4 linked regions of the Pelodiscus sinensis genome follow. The protein of the gene in region 1 purifies or fractionates together with the protein of each later gene. This does not show direct contact. Links are inferred from orthologs where the notes say so. Each region holds a gene or a part of one and is shown in the gene's direction. Other genes may lie near its edges. The genes, in order: G3BP1, HDAC6, FXR1 and TRIM25.

Evidence for each region.
Region 2: the proteins of G3BP1 (region 1) and HDAC6 purify together in Homo sapiens (affinity purification with western blotting; 4 studies listed by BioGRID, with this or other methods). This does not show direct contact. The link is inferred for Pelodiscus sinensis from reciprocal best matches to the Homo sapiens genes G3BP1 and HDAC6.
Region 3: the proteins of G3BP1 (region 1) and FXR1 purify together in Homo sapiens (affinity purification with mass spectrometry; 3 studies listed by BioGRID and IntAct, with this or other methods). This does not show direct contact. The link is inferred for Pelodiscus sinensis from reciprocal best matches to the Homo sapiens genes G3BP1 and FXR1.
Region 4: the proteins of G3BP1 (region 1) and TRIM25 purify together in Homo sapiens (affinity purification with mass spectrometry; 4 studies listed by BioGRID and IntAct, with this or other methods). This does not show direct contact. The link is inferred for Pelodiscus sinensis from reciprocal best matches to the Homo sapiens genes G3BP1 and TRIM25.

The regions. Positions count from the first base shown.
Region 1 is NC_134727.1:36,251,832-36,259,387, forward strand, and holds the start of G3BP1 (ras GTPase-activating protein-binding protein 1), read left to right. Parts: upstream 1-4,552; 5' UTR 4,553-4,697; intron 4,698-7,556. UniProt on the Homo sapiens protein: Protein involved in various processes, such as stress granule formation and innate immunity. Plays an essential role in stress granule formation.
Region 2 is NW_027466031.1:232,696-240,603, reverse strand, and holds the start of HDAC6 (protein deacetylase HDAC6), read left to right. Parts: upstream 1-4,905; 5' UTR 4,906-5,059; intron 5,060-6,332; 5' UTR 6,333-6,437; coding exon 6,438-6,440; intron 6,441-6,562; coding exon 6,563-6,688; intron 6,689-6,812; coding exon 6,813-6,901; intron 6,902-7,454; coding exon 7,455-7,539; intron 7,540-7,654; coding exon 7,655-7,695; intron 7,696-7,816; coding exon 7,817-7,908.
Region 3 is NC_134720.1:45,544,003-45,551,295, forward strand, and holds the start of FXR1 (RNA-binding protein FXR1), read left to right. Parts: upstream 1-4,292; 5' UTR 4,293-4,733; coding exon 4,734-4,784; intron 4,785-7,293. UniProt on the Homo sapiens protein: mRNA-binding protein that acts as a regulator of mRNAs translation and/or stability, and which is required for various processes, such as neurogenesis, muscle development and spermatogenesis.
Region 4 is NC_134730.1:18,911,891-18,919,207, reverse strand, and holds the start of TRIM25 (E3 ubiquitin/ISG15 ligase TRIM25), read left to right. Parts: upstream 1-4,310; 5' UTR 4,311-4,414; coding exon 4,415-5,017; intron 5,018-7,317.

The DNA.
Region 1 (7,556 bases):
TTTGTCCTCCCAGCTGTGGGGCAGGGTTATTTTACACGGCTGCCCCTTGGCTTGTACTAAACTCTGCAAAGGCCTTGCTACTGATCTATGAGCTGGCAGCTTGCAATGTGGCTCAGGATATAAATAGTAAAAAAAAAAAAAAAAAAAAGCGGGGGGGGAATATTAATGCTGAGGATGGCATAATGCCAGCCTAGTGACTGTAAATCTCCCTGCAAGAAACTAGGGAAGGAGATTCATACAGTGGCTGCCTGCTAGGGGAACAAGAGGCATTAAGTCCTGGCTATAGGGTCAGGTGTTACCCTTGCTCCCCCTCCCAAGCAACATCACTGATTTAGCGCTGCACAGGATGTAGGTGAAGGGAAATTTTGGCCCTTTGGCAGACAGTTTGGTCCAAGCAAGTGTCCACCACCTCCACAGCAAAACCAAACATGTGCCTTAGGAAACTGACTTCAAGCCCTGACTGCTTTTACTTTGTGGAAGCAAGGCTGTGGTACGAAAGTTGCTGTGCCTTCTGGGGCTCTTTTATCCTTTCAGGTGACGACATGCAATGTGACATGGATTTTATGGGATGGATCAGTAACGGGGCATCTCTTTCCACTTGGAGAGTGGTATTTTTAGGGTAGAGCACTGATGAGGCAATGCAAAAACCTGAACCTCTGCCTTATCAAAGCTTTCAGAGCAAGTTTCAGTTGGCTTGATTTCTCTGTTTCAGTAAGAAATTGCAAAAGAGGAAAAAGAAATTGCTGCTGCACAGACAGGTGAACTGTGTTATTTGTTTTCTCATCTAGATGCTCCTGCGGGCTCACCAGTCTGAGTGTAGTGGGTGATCTGATTTCCAAGTGGACTTGTTACTTGGGATGTTGGCTGGGAAGCCTCAGGATGGAGTTTTGTGTCCAGTGGGAATGGATTTGATCATATTCCTATGCTGAAACCTCTTAAGAGAAGGTTGAGCATTTTCCCAGGAGGTTACGGGATCTGTGACGATCAAGCTGGTAGGGCTGTATGCGCAGGGAGCCCTGGGTGGAAAGAGAACCTTTTAGAGGATGCAGTGTCCGCCCCGAAGGTTCATTCTTGGTGCTACTGAACTTTGATATTGCACCACCCAGTGTGGCAGTCCCAAGGAAATAATGGGAATGGAGACAGTTTAGTGCTTTGCACAATGTGGAGGAATCTTCCAGGAAGACTGGGATGGTGGGAGAAAGCACAGAGTGACCAGGATGATCTGAGCCGCACAAATGCCCAGGTGAAGACAGGTGACAATACCTGTCTGGGCCATATGGCGCTACAGAGTCCGGATGTGCCAGGGAGGAAGGGGTGGCTGGACTGGGCTGGGTTTTGAAGGTTGGGAAAGCCATGGCCTGGATGGGCTGTGTCAGAATGGGTGACCAGCCAGCTTGTGGTTTGGAGGCTGGGTGAGGCCTTGACCCAGCATTGAAGATGGACACCCTGGGCCAGAAGTAGCTGACCAGGCCGTACTGTGGTAGAGAGGCTGGGTGAGGCCTTGGCTCTGTGGAAGGCAGGCTGTGCAGAGAACTGGAGGCTGCAAGTGGTGGGATCAGCACGTGACTGATGGAAGGCCGGCTGTGCAGAGGTCCCAAGGCTGGACACCGTGGATTCAGCGGGTGATTGGGTCGTGCTGAGTCAGGCTGGGCCCCACAGAGACTGGCTGTGGCAGGTTCAGTGGGTGACGGGGCAGTACAGTAATATGGAGGCGGGGTGAGGCTGGGCCTTGTGGAGGCTGGGTTTGGCAGGTGACTGGGCCCCGGGTAGGCTAGCTCTGGCGGGTTCAGTGGGTGATGGGGCCATACAGTGGTATAGAGGCCAGCTATGAATGGTCTGGTGGGTGGAAGGGCCAAACAGTGGTATGGAGGCTGGGTAAGGCTGGCTGTGGTGGGTTTGGCAGGTGTCAGGGTCATACAGTGGTAGGGAGGCTGGGAGAGGGTAGGCCCTAGGGAGACCAGCTGTGGCAGGTTCAGTGGGTGACTGGGCCATACGGTGGTATTGAGGCTGGGCCCCAGGGAGGCCGGCTGTAGCAGCTTTGGAGGGTGGTGGAGCTGTACAGTGGTGCGGAGACTGAGGGAGGCCAACTGTGTGGTCAGCAGGTGGCGGGGCCGTACAGTGTTACAGAGGCTGGGGGAGGCTGGCTGTGGTGGATTCAGTGGATGGTGGGGATGTACAGTGGTACAGAGGCTGAGGGAAGCTGGCTGTAGCAGGGCCGTATGGAGGCTAGGACCAGCTGTGGTGGGTTTAGGGGATGGTGGCAGGTTTGGTGGAGGCGGGGCCATATGGTGGTGAGGAGGCTGTCTGTGGTGGGGCTGTACGGTGGTGGCCGTACGGTGGTAGGCAGGCTGGGGAAAAGGGGTCGGCGGCGGTGGGTTTGGCAGTGGCGGCCGTACAGTGGTAGGGAGGCCGGGGGGGTCAGTGGTGGCGGGTTTGGGGGAGGCGGCCGGATGGTGGTAGGGAGGCGGGGGGGAGGGTCGGCAGTGGTGGGTTCGGGGTTGGCAGCCATATGGTGGTAGGGAGGCCGGGAGGGGGGCATTCTGGAGCTGTACGGTGGTAGGGAGCCTGGTGGGGGGGTTGGCGATGGCGGGGCTGTACGGTGGTAGGGAGCCTGGTGGGGGGGTTGGCGATGGCGGGGCTGTGCGGTGGTAGGGAGGCGGGGGGGGGTTCTGGAGCCGTGCGGTGGTAGGGAAGCGGGGGGGGTTCTGGAGCCGTGCGGTGGTAGGGAGGCGGGGGGGGGGGTTCTGGAGCCGTGCGGTGGTAGGGAGGCGGGGGGGGTTCTGGAGCCGTGCGGTGGTAGGCAGACGGGGGGGGGTTCTGGAGCCGTGCGGTGGTAGGGAGGCGGGGGGGGGGTTCTGGAGCCGTGTGTGGTAGGGAGGCGGGGGGGTTCTGGAGCCGTGCGGTGGTAGGGAGGCGGGGGGGGGGGTTCTGGAGCCGTGCGGTGGTAGGGAGGCGGGGGAGGGGGGGGTTCTGGAGCCGTGCTGTGGTAGGGAGGCGGGGGGGGGGGTTCTGGAGCCGTGCGGTGGTAGGGAGGCGGGGGAGGGGGTTCTGGAGCCGTGCGGTGGTAGGGAGGCGGGGGGGGTTCTGGAGCCGTGCGGTGGTAGGGAGGCGGGGGAGGGGGTTCTGGAGCCGTGCGGTGGTAGGGAGGCGGGGGGGGGGTTCTGGAGCCGTGCGGTGGTAGGGAGGCGGGGGGGGGTTCTGGAGCCGTGCGGTGGTAGGGAGGCGGGGGGAGGGGGTTCTGGAGCCGTGCGGTGGTAGGGAGGCGGGGGGAGGGGGTTCTGGAGCCGTGCGGTGGTAGGGAGGCGGGGGGGAGGGGGTTCTGGAGCCGTGCGGTGGTAGGGAGGCGGGGGGGGGGTTCTGGAGCCGTGCGGTGGTAGGGAGGCGGGGGAGGGGGTTCTGGAGCCGTGCGGTGGTAGGGAGGCGGGGGGGGTTCTGGAGCCGTACGGTGGTAGGGAGGCGGGGGGGAGGGGGTTCTGGAGCCGTGCGGTGGTAGGGAGGCGGGGGGGGTTCTGGAGCCGTGCGGTGGTAGGGAGGCGGGGGGGGTTCTGGAGCCGTGCGGTGGTAGGGAGGCGGGGGGGAGGGGGTTCTGGAGCCGTGCGGTGGTAGGGAGGCGGGGGGGGTTCTGGAGCCGTGCGGTGGTAGGGAGGCGGGGGGGAGGGGGTTCTGGAGCCGTGCGGTGGTAGGGAGGCGGGGGGGGTTCTGGAGCCGTGCGGCGGTAGGGAGGCGGGGGGGAGGGGGTTCTGGAGCCGTGCGGTGGTAGGGAGGCGGGGGGGGTTCTGGAGCCGTGCGGCGGTAGGGAGGCGGGGGGGAGGGGGTTCTGGAGCCGTGCGGTGGTAGGGAGGCGGGGGGGAGGGGGTTCTGGAGCCGTGCGGTGGTAGGGAGGCGGGGGGGAGGGGGTTCTGGAGCCGTGCGGCGGTAGGGAGGCGGGGAGGGGGGTTCTGGAGCCGTGCGGTGGTAGGCAGGCGGGGGGGGGGTCACGGTGACCCAGGGGGCGGGGCCAGAGCAGCTGGGGGGAGCAGCACGTGGCCTGGTGCAGCAGGTGGGGGGAGGCGCGGGCGGCCCTTCCCCCCGTGGGGCGGGGCCCGGCTGCCGGCCGGGGGCGGGCTGACTCTGCCTCGGTGCCGCCTTTCCCTTTAAGAGCCTGTCGCGTGCGGCCTGTCAGTCAGGGCCAGCCGGGCTTCCTAATTGGCTGCGGCGCCCAGACCCGAAACGAGTGCCGGCCCTGTCTAAAACGGGGTTTACCTAGCCTGATCTCCAGGGCGCCGCTCTACGGCGTAACCACCCTACGCGGGCACCTTACCTCCGCCTCGTCCAACTTTCACCTCATAGCGAAAGTTGCGTCGCCTTATTGGTCACCGGGGGAGTCAGTCGAGCTTTATCCCGCCCTAGGGGCTGCCATTTCAACGCCTGTTGGCTGGTTCTTACGTCGCTCACCTAACGGCGTCCTGCCTCACGGCAGTGCCGATAGGGTGCGTTCGATGCCACTCACGAAGCACCGCCCTGCTTTGGCGGCCCTGGCCAAACGGCGTCCGAGCTGCGAAGTGCGGCGCTCGGTGATTGGCTGGCGCGGTGCGGCGGGGTTAGGCTGCGCGCCGGATATATGCAGCCGGCGGGTGAGCACGCCGTTGCGTGAGGTTTTGCCATTGCCCGGCCGGCCTGTCGCGAAGCCTCCTGCTCCAGTCCCGCTCCGTCCGCAGGTAACGGGGGGGCCCTGCCGCGCCCCCTCCTCGCGCCCCGCGGGGGGGGCTCCTGCCCCGGCGTCACGGGCACGCGCGGGCTCGGCGCCGCTCGGCGGGCCGGGGGGAGGGGAAGGAAGCTGGGACCCCCCCCCCGGCCGGGCCCGCTTGGGGGCAGGGCGCGGGGGGGGCGCCCCTCGTGGGGGGGGGGGTCTCCGGCACCGCGCTGCGTGCAGGGCTGGGGGTGGCCCGGGGCGGTAATTCAGCGTGTGGGAATGGTGGGGGCGGGCCGGGGGGGGCTGGGGGTGTGGTTCACTGCGGGGGGGGCTGGGAGCGGGGCTGTAATTCATGGGCACAGGGTGAGAGTGGGGGGGCACATGGGGCAATAATGCACTCGGGACGGGGGTATCTGGGGGTGTAATTCACTGGGGACAGGGTGCGAATGGGGGGGGTGGCGGCCTGGGGGTGTAATTCACTGGGGGCAGGGTGCGAATGGGGGGGGTGGCGGCCTGGGGGTGTAATTCACTGGGGGCAGGGTTGGAATGGGGGGGGTAGCGGCCTGGGGGTGTAATTCACTGGGGGCAGGGTTGGAATGGGGGGGGTGGCGGCCTGGGGGTGTAATTCACTGCGGGCAGGGTTGGAATGGGGTGGGGTGGCGGCCTGGGGGTGTAATTCACTGCGGGCAGGGTTGGAATGGGGGGTGGCGGCCTGGGGGTGTAATTCACTGGGGGCAGGGTTGGAATGGGGGGTGGCGGCCTGGGGGTGTAATTCACTGGGGGCAGGGTTGGAATGGGGGGGGGGTAGCGGCCTGGGGGTGTAATTCACTGGGGGCAGGGTTGGAATGGGGGGGGTAGCGGCCTGGGGGTGTAATTCACTGCGGGCAGGGTTGGAATGGGGGGTGGCGGCCTGGGGGTGTAATTCACTGGGGGCAGGGTTGGAATGGGGGGGGGGGTGGCGGCCTGGGGGTGTAATTCACTGCGGGCAGGGTTGGAATGGGGGGTGGCGGCCTGGGGGTGTAATTCACTGGGGACAGGGTGCGAATGGGGGTGGGGGTGGCGGCCTGGGGGTGTAATTCAATGCGGACAGGGTTGGAATGGGGGGTGGTGGTCTGGGGGTGTAATTCACTGGGGACAGGGTGCGAATGGGGGTGGGGGTGGCGGCCTGGGGGTGTAATTAACTGCGGACAGGGTTGGAATGGGGGGGGGGGTAGCCCAGGCCTCCCGCAGCCTCCCTGCAAGGATCATCGTGCATGCAGGCCGAAGTAAGGGGGGGGGGGGGGCTGCCTGCTCTCTCGGGTGGTGCTGGGGGTTGAGAAACATCGAGCCGTCTGGGCTACAAAAACAAGCCGTTTCATGGAGCGGTTCCTGTGCTCTGAAAGCCCCAGTGTGTTTGGCACCATCGGTGTGAGAAGAACATTCCTCTGGCCGCACAGAAAGGAGTGACGCTGTGGAAAAGAGTAAACGTTGCTGGGGCTGTGGACAATAGGGATCCTTCTGAAAGCAAATATTTTAAGGGGGGGGGGAAGAGTTAGAGGAGGGACACAAACAGGAGGGAAGAAAACTTGGTTGTGTTAGGCTAGATACAAAGTGGCAACCTTTGTTCTGTGCTTTACATAGCTGGTGTGTTCTATCAAACAAAAACCTAAAATGCCTACACGTAGTAGCTACGCTGCAGAGCTTGTTCATGGATTAATGTGGCATAGAAAAATACCCACCCCTTGAGACATTTGTAGTCCTCTGTAAATCTCTGCATTGTACAAAGGAGGGTAAGTTTCACCCCTGCTTTACAAGTGGGGTAATATTGTCCTCTCTGTGGTATTAAATGATTTATCCAAGGTCACACAGCAAGACAATGGTGGAGCTGGGATTTTAAACCTAGAACTGCAAATAAGATAGTGTAAGAAGAGCTCCCAGTAACTTGGAAGGAAGGCCCCAGGCCTACTTGCTTGGGAAAGCCCTACCTGTATCATTGTTACTGAATCTGAATGTCTTGCATAGAGTTAGTGTATAAGGTTGTATTTGGAATTATTGCTTTGTGGTGGTTATCCATTGGTGAGACACTTACATTAAGCATTGTGAATATAATGTATTCCATGTTAAGTGGCACCTTCCTATTTAGATCTGAAAAGTGTTGGCAGCAAACAGCCATGTTTCCAGTCAGCTATTTTTGTCAGGCCTACCCTTTGAAACAAATGACAGCATTAGGAAATGTAGAAAGGCTACCAACTCCTGAACATTAACTTCCAGTTAGTATAAATAAAATAACTTGTGATGGATCTTCAGCCATTATGTAGTTCTTGCCAACAGTGTTTCTTGCTACTGAGGTTTAGGTTCTTCTGAAAACAGCATCTTCTATTCACTAGATCAGTCACTTCACTTAAAAGGGGTTAAGAAAACATGCCAAGTTCTCAAATACGATCTTAGGGAAAATTGAGAGTAAATTGCATTTTTTCTAATTAACTTAGATTCTCGGATGTATTCAGCAGTGTTATTGATAGTGGTAGAATGGGCACTCTCCTCAAGTCTTTTGAAAGATACTATACCTTTCTCTGCTGACTTGAAGTTAAATCCAGTCATGACTTGCAACAAAATGTCTAAATTGCAGCTGCTTGTTCAGGTGTAACTGGGTAGAATGTCACATTAAACTGGAAGTTTAAGTAGTTGGATAGGTAAAGAGTTGTGTGAAACAGTAATACTATTGTGAGAGATTCATGCATCTGTGTTCCTTTCTCAGTGTGTTTTAACATTAATATGCCTTAAGAACAATTGCTAAATCTAGTATGAAGCAAAATGCAGGACAATGTAGCACTTTAAAGACTAACAAGATGGTTTATTAGATGATGAGCTTTCGTGGGCCAGACCCACTTCCTCAGATCAAATA
Region 2 (7,908 bases), on another chromosome or scaffold:
CTCCCCCGCCCCCCTCCGGCCCAGGAAACGCCTGGGGAGTGGGGACCCCCGCCCCCTCCCCCGCCCCCCTCCGGCCCAGGAAACACCTGAGAAGTGGGGAGCCCCCACCCCCTAGACCTGCTGCCCCTCCCATGAGACCCCCCCCACCTGCCTGCGGTCTCGCCGGCCCCCCTTCCGCTCCAGCCCTGTTGGCCCCCAGGCCCCTCTGCTCCTGCGAGGCCTCCCCAGCCCCTGGAGCGTGGGGGCAGGGCCTGGCTCCCCTCACCCCACCCACGCTCCCCTGTCCCCCCAGATCGTCAGCAAGCGCGCAGGCACCCAGTGCAGCAACTGCCAGACCACGACCACCACCCTGTGGCGCCGCAACGCCAGCGGGGAACCCGTCTGCAACGCCTGCGGCTTGTACTACAAGCTGCACAACGTGAGCCGGGGAGGGAGCGGGGGCTAGTGGGTAGAGCGGGGGGGGACCCCGGACGCCTGGGAGGGAGCGGGGGCTAGTGGTTAGAGCGGGGGGGCAGGGACCCCAGACGCCTGGGAGGGAGCGGGGGCTAGTGGGTACAGCGGGGGGGCAGGGACCCCAGACGCCTGGGAGGGAGTGGGGGCTAGTGGTTAGAGCGGGGGGGCAGGGACCCCAGACGCCTGGGAGGGAGCGGGGGCTAGTGGGTAGAGCGGGGGGGCAGGGACCCCAGACGCCTGGGAGGGAGCGGGGGCTAGTGGGTAGAGCGGGGGGGCAGGGACCCCAGACGCCTGGGAGGGAGTGGGGGCTAGTGGGTACAGCGGGGGGGGACCCCGGACGCCTGGGAGGGAGCGGGGGCTAGTGGGTACAGCGGGGGGGGACCCCGGACGCCTGGGAGGGAGCGGGGGCTAGTGGGTACAGCGGGGGGGGGACCCCGGACGCCTGGGAGGGAGCGGGGGCTAGTGGGTACAGCGGGGGGGGACCCCGGACGCCTGGGAGGGAGCGGGGGCTAGTGGGTACAGCGGGGGGGACCCCGGACGCCTGGGAGGGAGCGGGGGCTAGTGGTTAGAGCGGGGGGGCAGGGACCCCAGACGCCTGGGAGGGAGCGGGGGCTAGTGGGTACAGCGGGGGGGGACCCCGGATGCCTGGGAGGGAGCGGGGGCTAGTGGGTACAGCGGGGGGGGACCCCGGACGCCTGGGAGGGAGCGGGGGCTAGTGGGTACAGCGGGGGGGGACCCCGGACGCCTGGGAGGGAGTGGGGGCTAGTGGGTACAGCGGGGGGGACCCCGGATGCCTGGGAGGGAGTGGGGGCTAGTGGGTACAGCGGGGGGGACCCCGGACGCCTGGGAGGGAGCGGGGGCTAGTGGGTACAGCGGGGGGGGGACCCCGGACGCCTGGGAGGGAGCGGGGGCTAGTGGGTACAGCGGGGGGGGGGACCCCGGATGCCTGGGAGGGAGCGGGGGCTAGTGGGTACAGCGGGGGGCTGGCAGCCAGGACTCTGGGTTCTCTCCCACCTCGGGAAGGTGAGGGGGGCTAGTGGGTACAGCGGGGCGGGGACCCCGGACGCCTGGGAGGGAGCGGGGGCTAGTGGGTACAGCGGGGGGGACCCTGGACGCCTGGGAGGGAGCGGGGGCTAGTGGATAGAGCGGGGGGGCAGGGACCCCGGACGCCTGGGAGGGAGCGGGGGCTAGTGGATAGAGCAGGGGCTGGCAGCCAGGACTCTGGGTTCTCTCCCGGCTCGGGGAGGGGAGCAGGGTCTAGTGGTTAGAGCGGGGGGGCGGGGACCCCGGACGCCTGGGAGGGAGCGGGGGCTAGTGGATAGAGCGGGGGCTGGCAGCCAGGACTCTGGGTTCTCTCCCGGCTCGGGGAGGGGAGCAGGGTCTAGTGGTTAGAGCGGGGGGGCGGGGACCCCGGACGCCTGGGAGGGAGCGGGGGCTAGTGGATAGAGCGGGGGCTGGCAGCCAGGACTCTGGGTTCTCTCCCGGCTCGGGGAGGGGAGCAGGGTCTAGTGGTTAGAGCGGGGGGGCGGGGACCCCGGACGCCTGGGAGGGAGCGGGGGCTAGTGGATAGAGCAGGGGCTGGCAGCCAGGACTCTGGGTTCTCTCCCACCTCGGGAAGGTGAGGGGGGCTAGTGGGTACAGCGGGGGGGACCCCGGATGCCTGGGAGGGAGCGGGGGCTAGTGGATAGAGCGGGGGGGCAGGGACCCCGGACGCCTGGGAGGGAGCGGGGGCTAGTGGATAGAGCAGGGGCTGGCAGCCAGGACTCTGGGTTCTCTCCCGGCTCGGGGAGGGGAGCAGGGTCTAGTGGATAGAGCGGGGGGGCAGGGACCCCGGACGCCTGGGAGGGAGCGGGGGCTAGTGGATAGAGCGGGGGGGCAGGGACCCCGGACGCCTGGGAGGGAGCGGGGGCTAGTGGATAGAGCGGGGGGGGCAGGGACCCCGAACGCCTGGGAGGGAGCGGGGGCTAGTGGATAGAGCGGGGGGGCAGGGACCCCGGATGCCTGGGAGGGAGCGGGGGCTAGTGGATAGAGCGGGGGGGCAGGGACCCCGGACGCCTGGGAGGGAGCGGGGGCTAGTGCATAGAGCGGGGGCTGGCAGCCAGGACTCTGGGTTCTCTCCCGGCTCGGGGAGGGGAGCAGGGTCTAGTGGTTAGAGCGGGGGGCTGGGAGGCCGGACGGCCGGGTTCTAGCGCTGCCCCTCCCCCCAGGTCAATCGCCCCCTGACGATGCGGAAGGACGGCATCCAGACCCGCAACCGCAAAGTCTCCTCCAAGAGCAAGAAACGCCGCGGGGCCGCTCCGGGCGAGGGGGGGGCTGGGCCCCCCGCCCCACTCGAACTGCTCTCCCCCCTGGGCGAGGACCCCGCCACCCTCTACTCCCTGAGCCCCATGGTCCTGTCCAGCCACCTGCTCCCCTTCTCCCCCTCCCCCCCACCTCCTCGGGACCCCCCCGCCCGCCTACCACCCCCCACATGGCTCCCCCGGGCCGGGCCCCTCGCTGGGCTGAAGGAAGCAGCGCTGGAAAGCGGGGCCACGGGAGGGGGGGCAGCCACGGAGTCAGGCAGTGGGAGGGAGGGGGCAGAGCGTTGGGGCCTCGGGGTTCCCTCCCGTCTGTCCACCCCCATTCAGCTCCCACCTCTCCCTCCCTCCACCTGGCAGCTTTGGTGGGCGCGGCCTCTGTTTCCTCCCCCCCCCCCCCGCCAAGGAAACCCCCAACTTCCCCTCGAGAGGGCACCGCCCCCCCGGCTCCCTCGTCTCCACTGTCAGCCCCACAGCCAGCACTGACTGCAGTAGGTCTCCCGTTCTGCTCTCCCCCCGGCACCCCGATATTTTGGGGGTTACCATGGATTTTATGAAACCACAATTTACATATAGTATATATTTCTTTTACTGGCTCGGCTGTCGCGTCTTTTAATGCCTGGGGGAGCTATGGGGGGCTCACATGGGGGGCAGGCTTGTGCGCCTAGAACTCTGCTGGTTTGGAGCACCATGGCAGCTGCCAGGGGGCTGGAGTGGTGTTCAGTTCTTGGGGTACATGCTCTAGTGGGGGGTGCCCTGGCTTATTCTGAATGCACCCCAAAATGAAGCGGGTGCTCTAGAGCCGTGAGCACACACTCTGAAAAGGGGGAGCCTTCACTCTTCAAAGTGGGGGACATCTCGGGTTGTGGAGACCAGACATTAGGGCCCCCCCAATTCTGTAGCTAGAACAGGAAGGACAGATTCAGGGGGAACTGTGGAGGGGCCGAGGGGAACTGGGGGGCTTATGACCCAGAGGGAGCTATGGAAACCTCAGAAACATTGGGGTGCTCTGTGCAGTTTTGGGGGGTTTCTGTATGTTGGAGATTTGGGGTAAATCTAGGTGGTTGCTCTTTCTGTGGCGGGGAAGCAAAAATTGGGGTGTCCTAGCTCCCCAGAACTGAGATGGGGGGTGCAAGGGAAAAGTGGGGCATGGCTTGGGGGAGTGGAGGGAGATGGGAGGGATCCATTTTTATGGGACGTTTAATTCCCTCCCCCTTAAAGTATCCCCAAAGAAACCAGGATGATGGTGGGGAGTGGGATGTAGTGCAAGGGGGGCAGGGAGCCAGGGCTCCTGGGTTCTCTCCCCGGCTCTGGGAGGGCTGGGAGCCCGCCAGGAGTCCCATCCATGTATCGGCCCATCTCTGGCTCTGCTCCCTGCTTCCCACGCCCCCCTGCGCAGCGATCAAAAGGGGAAGGGGGCGTTATCTGCCCCATCAGCTCATGGCCTGGTGGGGGTTAGCCCTTGCCTCCGCCGAGGAGCTGGGAACTGGATTTCAAAGGGATGTGGGGAAGGGGCGGGGCGGGCACTGGAGATGGGCCCAGTACTGGGAGCTACACAGGCTCGGCGCAGAGCTGGGGGCCCCTCCAGCCGGGACACACGCTGGTGCGGGGGTCGGGCTCGCTATCCCAGCCCCATGGCTACTTCAGGGCAGGCCCAGCGCCCACTGCTGGTGCCAAGCCCTCCCTGCCTCACCCCTCCCCCACTACGTTCTATGCGGCTGTTCCCCAGCTGCCCTGCCCCAGAGGTGGCTGCATCTCAGCACCTAGGGAGCCCTCCCTGCGGCTCCCTTCACTAGGGGAAGGCCGAGGGGGCCCAGCTCCCCTGGGGGGGGCAAGGGGCCAAGGCCCAAGGAGCCGAGAGGTTGGGGGGGGGAATCCAAGGAAAAATAGAGGCCGGGGTGAAGGGTCACGGGAACAAGCTGGGGAGGGGTCAAGAGAATTAAGGGTCACAGGGTCAAGGGAGTAAATCCCCCCCCCCCCGACCTAGGCCAGTGAAGAAACAGGGAGATTTTTCTTCCAGCAAGTCAATGGTCTCTCCCAGCTCCCCTCCCCCCCGCTCAGTGCCAATGGCCACTCCCAGGATCCCCACCCCCTCCATTCATCGTGATTGGTTTCGCCCAGATCTCCCCCAAGGTCAGGGTGAATGGTCATGACCAGCCCCCTCCTCCGTCAATGGTCTCTGCCATCTTCCCCCCCCCCGCCCTACTCCGAATGGAATCTCCCGGCGGGGCGGGGCGGGGCGGGACGGGGCTGGGTGACACCATCAGGCTGCGCGCGGCAGGGAGAGACCATCTGCAGGGGCGCGGCAGGTGAGAGCAGCCCGCTCGCGCACGTGGCTGGGCACCCGGGGCGGGCAGCTGGTGCCGCGGGCACGGGCCGGGGGGGGGGGCAGCGCTCTGGGACCTGCTCCCCCAAGCCCCGCCCACAGCCTGCTGCTCCGGCCCCGCCCGCTGCCCCCCCTGCCCCGCCCCCCAGCACCCTCGGCCCCGCCCCCCAGCACTGCCCCCCAGCACCCCCCACCCTGCCCCCATGCCCCGCCCCCCAGCACCCCCCACCCTGCCCCCTCGGCCCCGCCCCCCAGCACCGCCCACCCTGCCCCCATGCCCCGCCCCCCAGCACCTCCACCCTGCCCCCTCGGCCCCGCCCCCCAGCGCCCTTCACCCCCAGCACTGCCCCCCAGCGCCCCCACCCTGCCCCCTCGGCCCCGCCCCCCAGCGCCCTTCACCCCCAGCACTGCCCCCCAGCGCCCCCCACCCTGCCCCCATGCCCCGGCCCCCAGCGCCCTTCACCCCCCAGCACTGCCCCCCAGCACCCTCCGCCCCCCAGCACTGCCCCCCACCCTGCCCCCTCACCCCGCCCCCCAGTGCCCTTCACCCTCCAGCACTGCCCACCCCCCAGCACTGCCCCCCAGTGCCCCCCACCCTGCCCCCATGCCCCACCCCCCAGCACCTCCACCCTGCCCCCTCAGCCCCGCCCCCAGCGCCCTTCACCCCCCAGCACTGTCCCCCCAGCGCCCCCCACCCTGCCCCCTTTGCCCCGCCCCCCAGCGCCCTTCACCCCCCAGCACTGCCCCCCAGCACCCTCCACCCCCCAGCACTGCCCCCCAGCGCCCCCCACCCTGCCCCCTCACCCCGCCCCCCAGTGCCCTTCACCCTCCAGCACTGCCCACCCCCCCAGCACTGCCCCCCAGTGCCCCCCACCCTGCCCCCATGCCCCACCCCCCAGCACCTCCACCCTGCCCCCTCAGCCCCGCCCCCCGCGCCCTTCACCCCCCAGCACTGTCCCCCCAGCGCCCCCCACCCTGCCCCCTTTGCCCCGCCCCCCAGCGCCCTTCACCCCCCAGCACTGCCCCCAGCGCCCCCCTACCCTGCTGCCCTCAGCCCCGCCCCTTCCCCCATCTGTACACCCCCAGCTCTGTGCCCCTCACCCCCTGCCACCCCTTCGCCTCCCAGCCCTGCACCCCGTGCCCCCCCTAAAATTGCCTTCCCCAGTGCCCCTTGCTCCTGCCCCGCAGCCCCCGCCGGCCCAGGGTGGAGGCCGGGGGGGTCGGGGTTTGGCCCCTCTAACGGCCTTTGCCCCCAGCCCTGCCCCGCCATGGCGACACCCTGGGCGGAGAAGCTTTGGCAGAGGAAGGACCCAGCTCCCCCCTCCCGATCCTGAAGGGACCTGCCCCCCCAGCACACGGCCATGGTGAGTCTGGCCCTGGGGGGGGGCCCTTGGCTCTGGGCGCGAGGCTGCCTGGGCCTGCCAAGGGCTGGGGGGGGCTGGCGAGGTCCAAGCCCCCCCTTCTGCCCCGTGTGCTTCCCCCCCAGAAGCGAGGTGGCCGGAGGGGCCCCCAGCCACGCCGGAGCCCCGGGCTGCCCGAAACCAAGCGCCGCGGCCGAGCGCAGCGGGCGAGCAGAGAGACGGAGGAGCTGGAGTCGGGGCTGCGGCGCCTGGTAGGTGGGGGGGGGGGCCGTGGGGCTGGGCTTTCCGCTGGCGGCGCCTGCTCCCTGGCCGTGGGGGGAAGGGGAGCGGGTCTGGGGGGGCCGGCGCCTGGCTCCACTGTCGTGTCCCCCCCAGGACCTGGGCGTGGAGGGGACGGTGCCCGTGGGGACGGGCCTGGCCTTTGACGAGCGGCTCACAGAGTCTCACTGCCTGTGGGATGACAGGTACGGGGGGGGGGGGGGGGGAGCCACGACCCCCACCCCAGCGACCCCTCCCGCCAGTCACCACGGCCCCCGAGCCGCCTCCCCCCCAGCGACCGGCCCCCTAGCTTATCTGGGATCTGGGCCCGGGCCCCTCCCGTCCAGCGCCGGGATCCTCGCTCTGGGGGGCACATCGCCTGCCCCCCCGGCCCTGCCGGCGCCCCTCACTCCCTCCCTCCCTCCCCAGCCCCAGCCCCAGCGCCCCTCACTCCCTCCCTCCCTCCCTCCCCAGCCCCAGCGCCCCTCACTCCTGCCGCAGCCCCTGCCCCCTGGCGCCCCCTCCCTCCCTCCCTCCCCAGCCCCTGCCCCCCCCCCCAGCCCCTGCCCCCCGGCACCCACCCCTCACTCCCGCCCCCCAGCCCCTGCCCCCCGGCGCCCACCCCTCACTCCCGCCCCCCAGCCCCTGCCCCCCGGCGCCCCTCCCTCCCTCCCCAGCCCCTGCCCCCCGGCGCCCCTCCCTCCCTCCCCAGCCCCCCAGCCCCGGCCACTTTCTCCCGCTCTGTCGTTTCGCCCCCAGCTTCCCGGAGCGCCCGGAGCGGCTGGTGGCCGTGCAGGAGAAGCTGCTGCAGAGCGGCCTGTGGGAACGCTGCGTCCCAGTCGAGGTGAGAGGAGGGGCTGGGACCCCTGGGTCTGTCCCTTGCCCGGAGGTGTCCCAAGACCAGCTGCCCCTCCCCCCGCTCTGCTGCAGCCCCCCACTTCCCTCCTCTGTCCTCACAGGCCCGGCCGGCTACAGAGGAAGAGATTCTGCTGGTCCACAGGTACGGACGGCAGCCGGGGGGGCGGGCCAGCTGGGGCTGCGGGGCAGCAGGGGGGCAACGGCAGGGCTGGAGGGTACCAGCGAGGCAGGGGCGAGGGGCTCGCTCTCTCTCTGTGTCTCAGCCCAGGGTACGTGGAGCTGGTGAAGTCGACGGAGCAGATGAGTGAGGAGGAGCTGAGGGGCCTGTCGGGGACGTTCGACTCCGTCTTCCTGC
Region 3 (7,293 bases), on another chromosome or scaffold:
GTGAAAAAGAGGTAACAAACTGGAGATCCAAACATCTCCATGAAGTCTCCCTACTTTTTAATAGAGTATGTGTGTGTGTGTGTGTGGGAGGGGGAGATTGTGAAATGAAGTAGGGAGAGAACAGGGCAGATTCTGGTGAATCTATGACTCCACTGATCAACTACCACCCATTTGCTCAAATAAAGAGGGAGCACAATGGCTATCCTACCTTCTAGTCCATTGGGCACTGCATGAGGTTGCAAGATTTGGCCCACAGTGAATAAGAGAACAGGAACTTATACTCCTGAGTGTGCATATACCAGGAAATAAAAGTTGTTGTATTAAGGTTTACAGCTGAACTTCTGGATGCTAATCCAAACCAAGTCTTTAAATATTTTGAAATTAGACTGTTACTATTTTTAAATTACTTTCTTTTCCCAACTATATCTCTCTTACTATTTTCAGATGCCTCTTACTTTTCTTAGTTTTAGCTGGAACCAGATGCATTAGAATACCTTCATGGTTCTTGCAACCTAGGCAAAACAACAATTTACTAAAAAGCTAATGAGAATTTTTTTCCTCAAGATTTTCATCCTATTTTCTAGAGCAAGTTGGTTTCTGATAAACGTTCAAATTTTAACATATTTATCTAGACTTTACCAGTTATTAGTAAAATTTTACATAAATCTCACACTGCAGTTACTTAGGCCCTGATTAAGCAAAGCACTTAATGAAGTTAATGGGAATTAGGCACCTAGGAAATTTTGAAAATCTCTCTATGCGTCTAAATATATTTAAAACACTGGCTCTTAAGTACTATTGTTGAATTAAATTATTTTATATACAGTACATTAAAAACTTTAGCCCGTGATGGGCACTATTCGTGCTAATTATTGCAAACTGCCTGCCTGTTTTCACAGAATAGAAAAGAAGGTTCATGAATGGGCTAAATTTCTGTTCTCTTTTATGCCCATGCAAGTCTGGAGTAGCTAAATTGACTTCAGGAGTCACTTGTGATTCGGGTTGCCAACCGTCCAGGATTGGCCTGGATTCTCCTGGAACTAGCATCAATCTGAAAGCAATCCTGGAGATATGAATAGGTCATTTTAAGAAAATGACATTATTTCATGTTGGGAAAAATAAATCTCCCAGAATAGCTTCAGTCAGAGTTGGCAACCTTATTCCTGATTTACAGTAATCTAAATGAAAGCGGAATTTGATGCAGTCATTTTCCTCAGTCTGATTGGTTCCAAGTGGCTGTCCAACCTCCTGAAAACAGCTGCCCTGTGCCCCATTTCCACCCAGCTGCAGCAACCTACTGCAGTATTAATCTGAAAACAAGCTTGTCCTATTAAATACCATCAAGTGTATATTTTCAGCAAAACAATTTTAATCAGTCAAATTCACATGCAGATTACATTGGCTCAGGCCAATTCTTGTTATCTTTTTTGACCAGAACTGTGCATACTATTCCAAATATGGTCATACTGGTGCTTCTTAAGGTTTTAAAGTAACTTCATTTGATACTTATTACACACCTGTCTTACTACACAATGGAAATTTGTTTGCCATTTTTACTGTGTGGAGGATGATGTCTAATATTTAAGGTTTCATTTTACCCAATAATTCAATTTTTTCTAAATATTTAATTCTGAAAGAATGAATAACTTCAGAAATATTAATAGACTTCCCAAAGAACGATTTCAAGCAATTTTTTGTCATTGGCTCTTCGATTGTGTAACTGTTTGCTCATAATTTTCCTTTTGGGCCTCCCATAGCTTGATTCTCCAAAATGCTGTGTGCCCGCAAGAAAAAGTAATTGAGGTCATTCAGCACTGCGCATAACTAAACGCTTATTTTCTCTCTTTATGACACAAAACCATTTAACAATGTCAAGATTTGTCCTATAAAGATTTATCCAATATTTATACATGTAAAAGGACTAAGGAAGATGCAAATCAGGTGGTCACTGTTTCCCTGGTACTACCAGGTACCCAAACAAAATATTGAAATATCTGAGTGGAAAACAAAAAACTTTTCTAACCCAATAAAAAAAATATGCTCACATCATAGTTAAAACATTTTAAGGATAACAAGAAAACATTCTACAAATACATTACAAGCAAAAGGAAGACCAAGGACAGCGCACACCTGTTACTCAGTGGAGAGGAGGTACTCCACTTAGGAAGGAACAATCAGTTGTACACATACAACATAGGAAATGACTGCCTAGAAAGAAGTACATGGCCTATAAGGGAAGATTGAAAAAAGTGGGTTTATTTAGTCTCGAGAAGAGAATGACCACAGTTTTCAGGTATATAAAAGTTTACGAGGAGAAAGGGATCTGTGGATCAGAGTGGACCACGAGCTAAATATGAATCAACAATCTGACACAGTTGCAAAAATACAACATCTCCCCAAAAAACAAACTAACAACTCCTCCACCTTCATTCTGGGATGTATGAGTGATGTGAGCAAGACATAAGCCACTTTACTCTGTGCTGATTAGGCCTCAACTGGAGTATTGTATTCAGCTCTGGGAGCCACCTTTCAGAAACCTAGAAAAACTGGAGAAAGTCCAGAGAAGAGCAACAAAAATAATTAACCATCTAGAAAACATGATCTATGAGAAAAGAGTGAAAAAATTGGGTTTATTTAGTCTCAAGGAAAGAAGACTGAGAGGGGATATGATCATAGTTTTTAAGTACATAAAGATTTACAAGGAAGAGGGAGAATAATTGTTCTCTTTAACCTCTTAGAATTGGAAAAGAGGCAATGGGCTTAAATTTCAGCAAAAGCTATTTATATTAGTCATTAGGAAAACCTTCCTGTCAGGGTAGTTAAACACTGTAATAATCTGTCTATGGGAGTTATGTATATTACAATTAGTTTCCTAACATATGAATGAAAGAACATGATTAATATTAATGAGCATTTAACCATAGGAGGCTATGAAAAAGTAATTTTATATGTTTAAGTAGGAGTTGAACTTCTTGTTTGAAATTAATAGGCAGTTTCTCAAATCCTAAACTTTAATCTCTCAGGATACGTTTACACATTAAAAAAAAAAAGATCAGAACTTTCCCATTCATTTGGCATTTTATAGTTGCAATGAGTTAGTTTTATTTTAGAGGTTGAGAGATGTACTCATTTAGGCCCTGATTCATACTTTGTAGTGTAGTATCCCATCATTACCCAGATTAAGAGTTTTTTGAGAGAGCCACCTCTTCAGCCCCTTATGAGCCTATTTGGGAAAAAGTCTGCTACAATTTGGAGAGGCAAGGGCCCCATTTGTATGTGTGGGAAAGTCCTGAACTCCTGTCTCTGTATATATTATGAGCCTTTATTCCAGGAGTGAAGCACTTCTGTGTTTAGAGATCCTCCCTTTCCAAGACATTCTTCTTTATGCCACTGTCCACAATGTGTTAGGTGCTTTCCAAACAGAGGACACAGCCCCTACCAGACACATATATAACCCCGAAGGACAAAGACTGGCAAAGGGTGGAGGAGGAAAGGAATATAACATGCAACATGAACAAAATGACAGGCACAAAGCTTACCAAACTACATGTGTGATTTAAACTAGGGTTGCCATATCTGAACTTTCAAAAAACAGGACACACTTGAGAGGGAGTGTATCAGTATCTAACGTCACTTAGTATATAATACACAAACACAACACGACTTGGTAGATAATAATACAGATACACTCCCTCTCAGGAGTCTCCTCTTTTTGGAAAGTTCAAATATGGTAACCCTATTTAAACACACTGGATTCCACTCCCCGCATCTCCCTTCCATCATTTAGCATCCCGCTCCTTCCCTTATAGCAACCTGCGACTCTGCTTCTAGTGCCATGCCCCCTCCTTCACAACATGCAACTCTCAGGCAGGGCTGAAACAAGCAGTTTGCTCCAGGAGAAATCAGTGAGTAAAACCATGCCACGTCGTGGGAGTGTGTGGAAGGGGTGGTGGTGGTGGTGGTGGTGTTGAATAAGGGAAGGAGTAGCCTGCATTCCTGTGCCTACGGAAGGCCACGTCCGGGTGTGGAGGGGACAGGAAACAAGTCCCTTAGGTCTGATCGTAAAGAGCCCCCTCCCCGAGGCCAGGGGTGGTCACAGCCCCAGCCCTGCAGGACTTAGCCCCACCCTGGGCAGCTACGAACAGGTGGCGGGAGCGAGGCGCCCGTGGGATCAGCCAGCTCCCGCCCCGGCTGTGGCAATGGGGAGGGAATGCCTTTGCGGTCCCGCGTGTGCGGAGGAGTCAGAGACCCGTCCCCCGGGGGCTGGCCACCCCGCTGCCGCGCCTGGAGCCCTCAGGAAGAACGGGCTGGCCTGGGGTAGTCAGTCAGGCCTGGCGCGGCGGGGCTCGGGGAGGGAGCGAGCCCCCTGCTGGCCAGCGCCCCGCTGCGTGAGGGTGAGCGGGGGTCTGAGGAGGCGGCCTTGTGCCGCGGGGGAGCGGAGCCAGTCGTTCCTCCCCGCGCGTGAGGGGCTCGCGCTCGCCCAGCGCGGGGAAGGCCGCAGGAGACCCCGGCGAGGGGAGGGCGCTCGGGGTAGGGGGCAGACCCTCGGCCCGGCGCGCGAGGGGATTAGCCGCCGCGGGGAGCCGAGCGGGAACACCCCGCCCCCTCCCGCGCGGGGGGAGCCGGAGCCGCCCGGCTGCAGGTGAGGACTCCGAGAGGGAGCCCGGAGCGCGCCCCCCCCACCGTGGTGACAGTTTCTAGAAGCCCGTCCCGGCGTCCTTTGCGGTCTCAACATGGAGGAGCTGACGGTGGAAGTGCGCGGCTCCAACGGGGCCTTCTACAAGGTATCGGCCGCGGCGGGGGCGGGTCACGGTTTCCGTGTCCCCACCCCGGTCCCCCTCTCCCCCTCCAAACGAACCGTTAGGGCCGGGGCGCGGAGAGGGGGAGCGGGCCCGTGGGGCAGGGGTGCTCGGCGGAAGGGCAAGGCTGGAGAGCGAGTGCCCGGGTCAGGGAGGGTTGTGAGGGGTTGGGGTGCTGGGGGGGAGCTGCCAGGGGAAGGATGTTTGGGGGCTGGGGTGGGAGAAGACCTCTATGTGTGGAAGCGTTTGAGGAGGAGTTTGGGGGCGTGTAGATGCGGTGCGGGGCTAGTGCCTGGTAGAGTGGAAGGGAGAGCCTGGTTTCATTGGCTCTGAGGTAGGTTATCAGCTGAGCGAACAGAGGAAGGTTTCTTCTCTTTTGGGGGGGGTGTGTGTGGAATTGGATTATCTGAAGGGCTGAGGCTTTTAGTGGGAGCATTGGGGTGGTTTAAACTTCTGAAAATAAAAAGCCCAGATAATACGTGTAGGGAGTTGGAGTTTATTTATGTCATCAGAAAGCTTCCTTCACCACCACCCTCCCTGGTATGCCAGGATATTACAGGATCAATACAAAATACTCTCAGCTGTTGCCTGTCAGTCTTTTTCCCTAAGCCAGGCCTGAGATGTTTGAGAATCCCAACTCTTTTTATAGAGAGAGGCCTTGTGTGTTCCTTTACAGGAGGGCTGATTGCAGTTGTCATTGTGAACACTCACTGTATGCTCAGCTTCCTGGTCACTTAATTTCACGACTTCCCTTAATCACTTTAATCTAATCATGGATTTGTAGTCCACCGCTATGCAAGACAGTGATTTATTTGTCCTTTTCATGAGTTTCCTGGTGGGTGGGTCTATGGATGTAGGCTATATAGCATTTGGTAATTGGATAGTATGTAAAAACAAGTTTGTGTGTTAAGAACCATAACCAGCTGATTTCCTAAGTTTCTGTCTTTTTAAATAGATAGCTGGTTGATAAATTAGTAGGTATTTTAATGGAAAGAATTTATGGAGAATTGTAATCCTACTCTTAATAAATAGTGTTGAAATTTTTGTTTGGGTTAACAGTAATTTTAGGCTTAGACAATTCAGTATATGTTAGAAGTTGTGTAAAGATTTTTAAAGTAATCAGAATACACGTTAAAATGTCTCATCATAAGATGAGAAAAGTGAGAATTCTTGGGACTGGATCTGTACCATTGGCTCCGAGGTAGGTTTAGCACTATCAAAGATGGTTAATGAAAGTAATGGTCCCTAGAGTTGTGGCAGGGTTCTCTTTAAGCTGTGCGCCTATTTGGCTGAGCACAAACAATTTTAGGCCCACCAACCTCATTTGCAGAGCTAGGCAGCGGCACTCTCTACTCACTTTCTTGCTGAACCTGCAGCCTGGAAGGTGAGTGGTGGTGGTGGCCTGGTGGATTCTGGCAACCTGCCTCACGTATCCTGGTTCTAGCTATGGTGGAATGCCATGTGGCCTGGCTGGCTGGGCTGCGTGGTGGGCAGCTGCCCCTGTTTGCTCTGGCTGGAGCTGAGACATCCTCACCATGGCCCTAGTGGCCCATACTTCTGGGAGGCGGGAAGGGGGTCATGGAAATGGAGAGTATTGAAGATAAGCGTATGTCATCTCAGTAAAATACTTAAATGGTTTTGGGCACTTATGTATATTTTTACCATCTACTATCATACACACACATTAAAGCTGGTAAGAGTCTCATGAATGCTTTCCATAGATTCAACTCTCTGGCTTTCTTAGTATGTAGACTTTTGCTGTTATCTAGGGTTGCCAGGTGTACAGTTTTGATCTGGACAGTCCGGTATTTGAGCTTTCTGTCTGGGAAACACATAAATGTCCAGTATTTTCTAATTAAGTTTTTATTGTTATCATGAGTATCAGTACGTAGTTGTGTACTATTTGGCTGGTAGACACACTAACGCTGCGTGAGCGTGTCTACCAGCCAGGCAGTATGCAACTACACAGAGAGGAGAGGTGTGGGGGTGGGATGGACTTCCCAGGGCCGGATTCACCTGTGCACTCCTCTGGGACCATGCACAGGATGGGCAGCACCCCGGGATCTGGTGCACCCAGGCTGGCTGGTTTTCTACCTCCCCACCCCCCGCTCCCGGCCAGCCCCGCTCACCTGGACCCACTCCCAGCCAGCCCTGCTTCTTGCCAGCTGGCTCCCTTCCCTCTTCCCGCCCTCGGATCTCCTCTAGCCAGCCCCGCTCCCCCTGACCCTCTCTAGGCCAGCCCTGCTTCCCGCCGGCCAGTTCTCCTCCCCCCCCCCCCCCGCCAGCCTCGCTCCCCCTAACCCCCTGCCGGCCAGTCCTGCTCCCCTCCTGGCCGGTCCCTCTTCCCTCCCCTCCCAATCTGAGATCAAGTGTGTCCGGTATTTTTTTTAAACCATCTTTCTCTGTCACCATCTCCAATTCCCTTCTCCATGGTAGGTTTGGTTCTTTTTAATTTTTGGTTCTTTGATTTGATATTTTTTGCAGCTTTGGCTTC
Region 4 (7,317 bases), on another chromosome or scaffold:
CCTTCCCAGCATTTTTGGAGGGTGCAAATCACCTGGCTCACACTCCATCCATGCTCCTCCCCCTCTCAGAGCTTGAACAGTTACAAACAGCTGATTCATGGCATTCCAGCTCTGGGAGGGAGGGGAAGGAAGGGGGGAAGAGTGCAAATCAGGTGATTCGTGCACTCCAAAAGTGCTGGGAGGGAGGGGAAGAGTAGGAAGTATGGTTCTCTGGTGCCTCAGTGTGCAAGCGGCATGTGGGTGAGGGGGACAAATCGGTGGTCTGTGCTCCACAGGTAGATCCTCAGTGGATCATATGCAGTCTGTGGGCTCCAGGGTGCCCACCACTGTGTTAGAGGATAGTGTGGGGGGTGCGGGAGGGATTTCTAACGATTTATAATACGGGATCTAGACAATGTATGGTTATTAAAGATTCCATGTCACCTTTTGCAAGTGTAAGTAGTATTACTCTTTTCCAAATTCTAACTTTGGTAATAACACTGCCCATCTGAACTCTTTGCACACTTTTGATTATATACTTTCAGTATTGGCAACCCTTGACATTTTATGACAAGTCTCATGATATCTGGCATTTTCTGAACACACCAGAATCTCAGCTTTTTTATTTTAGAACAGGTTTTTAGTCTTCGTAATTATTAATAAACTTTTGAAAATGTGACCCTCTAAAGATGCAAATAGTCAATAAAAATACAGGCAGTTCCTGGGTTACATGGATCCGACTTACATCGGATCCCTACTTACAAACGGGGTGAGGCAACCCTGCACTAGCTGCTTCCCCCCAGCAGACCAGGGAGACGTGGAGAGGCTTTTCTCAGCAGACACCTCAGCTTGAGAATAAAGGACTGAGGGAAGTGAGGTGTGGGAGAATAAAACTGAGCTCTGGAGAAATGTTTGGCTAGAGTTTCCCCTACAATATGTGCCAGTTCCGACTTACATACAAATTCAACTTAAGAACAAACCTACAGTCCCTATCTTGTATGTAACCCAGGGAATTCCTGTAATCAAATGTGTTATTTTTAAAAATCCTATGATCTAAGTCAATCTCATGATTTCTATGAACTGACTTATGATTTTTGAAAGCTTTGGGGTTTATAATACTGTGTGATTCTAATCCTAAATTGTTGTGCAGTATTCCTTTGCTCTGTTGCAGCTGTTTTTTCCCATTGCAAAGGTGACCATTGTGTACTCAGAACAGTATTCTGAGGTCTTAAGAAATATTTATAAAATGTGTGGAGACAGTTGAATAGAAGTGCAAAGCAAAGTATTAATACTATTTTGTTACTATTTTTATTTTATTATACAGGTGTAGAAAAAGGACAGCATCCAACTGCAATCAGAAAAAAGCTAAAGTGAACTTCATTATTGCCTATTTATACTAATCAAACTTATTTTTTTCCTCCTATGGAAAGGTTAGCATAATGAAAGAATAAAGACTGAAATTTAGATGGTGGCATAGAGAGTACGGTTATTAAGTTTTCAGATGATACCAAGCTGGGAGGGGTTGCAACTGTCTTGGAGGATCAAATGATCTGGACAAACTGGAGAAATGGTCTGAGGTAAATAGGATGACGTTTAATAAAGACAAATGCAAAGTGCTCCACTTAGGAAGGAACAATCAGTTCGCACATACAGAATGGAAAGCCACTGTCTAGGAAGGAGTACTGCTGAAAGATCTAGGGCAGTGTTTCTCAACCTTTTTTTTTATAAATTACGCCTTTAAACAATATAAGTACCCCCAGTACCTACAGTTTTCAGACACACCATATTTTTTCTACCATTGCAACACATTTGTTTAAAAAACTTAATTGTAGCTGGGCGGGCGATGAAATTTTTGGGTGTAAAAATTACAAAAATAATAAAGCGCTGTAAAACTTAAAACAATAATTTAGTTTTCTCCAAATTTCAGTCGTGTTGATGTACCCCCCAGACTTCTCTCAAGTACCTCTAAGGGTACTGTACCACTGGTTGAGAAACACTCATCTAGGGGTAATAGTGGATCACAAGCTAAATATGAGTCAACAGTGTGACACTTGCAATAAAAGCAAACATGATTCTGGGATGCGTTAACAGGAATTTTGTGAGCAAGACACGTGAAGTCATTTTTTCTTTCTACTCTGCACTGATTAGGCCTCAATTGGAGCATTGTGTCCAATTCTGGGCACCACATTTCAAGGAAGATGTGGAGAAATTGGAGAAGGTCCAGAGAAGAGCAACAAAAATGATTAAAGGTCTAGAAAACATGAGCTGTGAGGCAAGGCTGAAGGAATTGGGCTTCTTTAGTTTCGAAAAGAGAAGACTAAGGGGATATGATAGCTGTTTTCAGATATCTAAAAGGGTATCACAGAGAGGAGGGGGGGAAATTGTTCTCCTTGGCCTCTGATGATAGGACAAGAAGCAATGGGCTTTAAACTGCAACAAGGAAGGTTTAGGTTGGACATTAACCACCCTGACAGGAAGTTCCTAAACACTGGAATAAATTGCCTAAGGAGGTTGTGGAATCCCCACCACTGGATATATTTAAGAGCCGGTTAGACAGACATCTATCATGGATATTATAGACTGTGCTTGGTCCTGCCATGAGGGCAGGGGACAGGACTTGATCACTCAAGGTCCCTTCTAGTTCTAGTATTCTTGGATTCTATACATTAGATTTAAAAAATCACAACATATAACCAGTCATGGATTTTAAAATAGCCATTCTTCTACAAATGAATTTTACTATACAATTACAGAGGGAGACTGCTGAACTGGCATTAATTTACAAATTTCACAAGGTCAACCTGGGCTTGAATAAATATATTAAATATTGGTTAATGCACTACAAAGCCAATTTCCCCTGCTTTTGACATACACATTTTCCCTACAAAAGCTACGAATGGGACAAATCCAGCTTATTTAATTTGCTTCATTAACACAGGTTCTACAATTGACAGGTAACTGCTTTTGCTGTTATATATATTGGATTATTTTATTTCCACGCCAACTCATCTGATGAGGTGTTTTTACCCATGAAAATTCATGATTCTATGTATATTTGTTAATCTCTAAAGTGCCAGAGGACTACTTGTTTTTAAAGTTACTGCCTAACACAACTACCCATCTGGAACATATCACCTGCACTTCACAATAAAATGTCAAAAAAATCATGTTGCAATATTTTTATATTGTAAATTCCTGTTGCTTTTTTATATCTTTCACTCATGTAATTTGCTTTCTTCTTAAACTCCTCACTCAGCTTTTCTGCATCTATGGCCCGGCGGGATGCATGAAGGAGTGGGGAAAGAAAAACATATTGCCACTTTGTATGGGCTTTTGCAAATCTTTTAACTCCAGAGCTGTGCTGTTCTTCATCCTGGCCATCCTAAAAGGAGGTGGGTTGAATTGAAGAGAGTGGAATCTCCATCCCTAGAGGTTTTAAAATCCAAGTTTGACAAAGCCCTGGCTGGGATGATTTAACAAATGGTCTGGTAGCATTTTATAGACTAACAAAACGTATAGATGGTATCATGAGTTTCTGTGGGCAAAGCCCACTTCTTCAGATGACCGGAGTTCCAGTCATTTGAAGAAGTGGGCTGTGCCCAGGAAAGCTCATGATACCATCTTATGTTTTGTTCGTCTATAAAATCCTACAGACCATTTGTTGTTTTTTAAGTTTATCCTGTACTAACTGGGCTACCCCCTGAAGCTTCTGGGATGGTTTAGGTGGGATTGGTCCTGCTTTTAGCAGCTGATTGGACTCCATGACCATCTGAGGTCTCTTCCAACAAACATTTGAACTATCTCATTACCAAGATAGTTTCCCCAATTATCACCTCTAATACCATTAACTCACAAACATCCCACTCTCCCTACCTCTAATATCATCAATTCACAGACACTTTACCTTCCTTCCTTCTCCCCCCCTGTATTCCCCTCCTGTTCTGCAATGTGATTTGTCCTTTTCATATTTGTTCATTTTTTTTAATTGTATCCTTTGGTATATATGGTTGTGACAATTTTCTTCCACTATTTGATCTGAGGAAGTGGGTCTGGCCCACAAAAGCTCATCATTTAATAAACCATCTTGTTAGTCTTTAAAGTGCTACATTGTCCTGCATTTTGCTTCCGCTACCCCAGACTAACACGGCTACATCTCTATCACTATTCTTCCAACCCTGTGATTCTATGTAAAGAGGAAAGTCAATACATTGCAGAACTGCGCACCAGAAAATCCAGGCTGCGGAAGGGGGAGCGTAAATAAGCAGAAATGGGAGAAAGTTTGCAGCCTGAGCGCCTAGCAGGGAGGGGTTTGCTAGGGAGGCCCCCCCGCGCTGAACTTTCCCCCTTCCACGTGATTTCCAGGAACTTCCAGCTGCTCCGCCTCTGCTTTGAGTTTCACTTTCCATCCCCAGCTGCCCAGGTCGTGGCAGGAGCCATGGCGGAGCTACTGCGGGCGCCGTCCTTGCCCTGCCTGGCCGGGCTGGAAGAGGAGCTGACCTGCTCCATCTGCCTGTGCCTCTTCGACTGCCCGGTCACCACGCCCTGCGGCCACAACTTCTGCGGGCCCTGCCTAGATGTCACCTGGAGCGGCATCCAGCAGGGCTTCAGCTGCCCGCAGTGCCGGGCCAGCTTCCAGCGCCGGCCCGAGCTGCAGAAGAACACGGTGCTGTGCCGGGTGGTGGAGCAGTTCCAGAGCTCGCAGCCCGGCGAGCCGGCCGAGGAGAAGAAATGCCGGGAGGGGAGCGGCTCCGAGGTGCCCTGCGACACCTGCCTGGAGGCCGCGGCGGCCAAGACCTGCCTCACCTGCATGGCCTCCTTCTGCCACGAGCACCTGCGGCCCCACCAGGAGAGCCCGGCTTTCCGGGACCACGAGCTGCGCCTGCCCCTGCGCGACCTGCAGCAGCGCAAGTGCCAGCAGCACAACAAGCTGCTGGAGTTCTACTGCCCCGAGCACGCCACCTGCATCTGCTGCGTGTGCCTGGTCAGCCACAAGACCTGTGCCACCAGCCCCGTGCAGGAGGCCAAGGCGGAGAAGGAGGTGAGGAGGGATGGGAGAGGAGGGGGATGCCTGGACAGAGGTGCTGATCAGCACTGGCCGGGACCCTTCTCTGGAACCTCTTGCATGGGACTCCTAGCAATGTTCCCTCTAATCTCTCCCATCCCCGTGCGGAATAATTTTGATGCGCACCCAGGCATGTGCATGCACCACCAGTAGAAACACGCAGTCTCGCTAGTGAGCGCTCTGCTGATCAGCTGGGAGGTGTTGGGATCTCTCCTGAGTGACCCAGCTTACAGGGAACTCTGCCCCTGGGCTGTGTTTGCGCTGCTGTTCTCTGACTGCTCCCACCTACGGAACATCTGCCCTCTTTCTCAACCTATTTGATAATCAGAGAGCTCAGGGACTGGCCCCAGTCCATGGTCTGGCACTTGAGAGCACTGTCTTAGATCAGCATTTTTCAGCCAGGGGTCTAGGGTGGGGGGGAGCATGCTCTGAGCAGGATTCCAGGGGGCCACCAATCAGGGCAGGCATCAGACTTTCTGCTCTGCACCCCAGCAAGTTTAAAGCCCCATTGTGTGGAGCAGAAGCCTGGGACCCCAAGATCTACCAACTGGGTGCTGAAGTTGAAGTCTGAGCTATTCAGCTTTCGGGGTGCCCCCTGTGTTGTACTTGTCCTGCTTGTTATCCTCTATTGCCAGCCCTGGCTTTTATGTATTGAAAAATAGTTGTGGTGGTGCAGGTGGGCTGTGGAATTTGTATAGCTTGTTGGGGAGGGGTCAAAAAGAAGGTTGAGAATCCCTGTCTTAGAAGATGCACCATTCATCCTTCTCAAGATCCTGGACAGGCCTTAGGAACAGCAGATTGTGGTGATAGGGATTGCAGGCCCTAAAAGTACCATCAGGACCATACACAGACTTAAGGTGTGTCTAAACTACACCCCTCTGTCAGCAGAGGGATGTAAATTACACGTTTCGAAAGCACAAATGAAGTGGGGATTTAAATATCCCGCACTTCATTTGCATAATCGTGTCCTGGCGCAGTTTTGAACAAGCGCCATTTCGAAACGGAAACCGTGGTTTAAACGCAGTTTTTCCAAAACACCATGTCTAAACCGTGGTTTCAGTTTCGAAATGGCGCTTGTTCAAAACTGCGCCAGGATGCGATTATGCACATGAAGCATGGGATTTTTAAATCCCCGCTTCATTTGCACTTTCGATGTGTCTAATTTATATCCTTCTGCCGACAGAGGGGTGTAGTTTAGACGTAGCCTTAGTGTCTAACAAAACTTCAGAGGTCTGGCTTTTAAGTTGCACTGCCTGTAAAATGCAGGACAATGTAGCACTTTAAAGACTAACAAGATGGTTTATTAGATGATGAGCTTTCGTGGGCCAGACCCACTTCCTCAGATCAAATAATGGAAGAAAACAGTCACAACCATATATACCAAAGGATACAATTTAAAAAAAAATGAACACACATGAAAAGGACAAATCACATTGCAGAACAGAAGGGGGATGTGGGGGGGGGGGGGGGGAAGGAAGGTGAATGCCAGTGAGTTAATGATATTAGAGGTGGGGAAGGGGAAATGTCTGTGAGTTAATAGTATTAGAGGTGATAATTGGGGAAGCTATCTTTGTAATGTGTAAGATGCCTGTAAAATCTCTCTCTCTTCCTGTTCCTTTTCTAAGAGAACAGCTTGTGACCATCAGGATACAAGCCAGGCTCTGGAGCACATGGGCACAGTGGGAGCTTTGTATATGTGTGAATCAACCTAGTAGCAAATGAGGCTTGGATTATTCAGGCTTTAGCTGTTATGGGGGAAGTGGCACTGCTTTCGAACTTGGCATAGGAGGCCTCCGTTATTCTTCAGTGCTAAGGATGCCTAAGAGGGACAGTCTAATCCCAAGCTTGTAGGGAGCTATGTTAACGTATTTTAGCTGCTGGATCTTTGCGAGCTGTATTAAGGGCTTTTGAGGAGCGGGAGGAAGCAAGCAGTGCCTCTTTATGGTGGGCCCCGTGTGGTTGGAGCAGCTCCCTGCCCAAACTGCTCCAGCCCCTACCAATTAACCAACACTGATTCATTAAGGGTGAGGCTTACCAGTTAACCATTCACATCCCTAGTAATGATTGGGGTGGCCTCAATCTCATTCATAGGTTGCCCTTCTTATAACAGCACTCCCGGACCCAGCATGAGTTAGGACTTGTGTTGGATTGTCTGGGGAAAAGGCCAAGGAGTGACTAAGTAAGAGAAGTGGTTGTGGGGGGGGGGGGAACACAGCGACTCACCTTTCCTGACTGTTCTTCGAGATGCGGTGTTCACGTCCGTTCCAGTCAGGTGT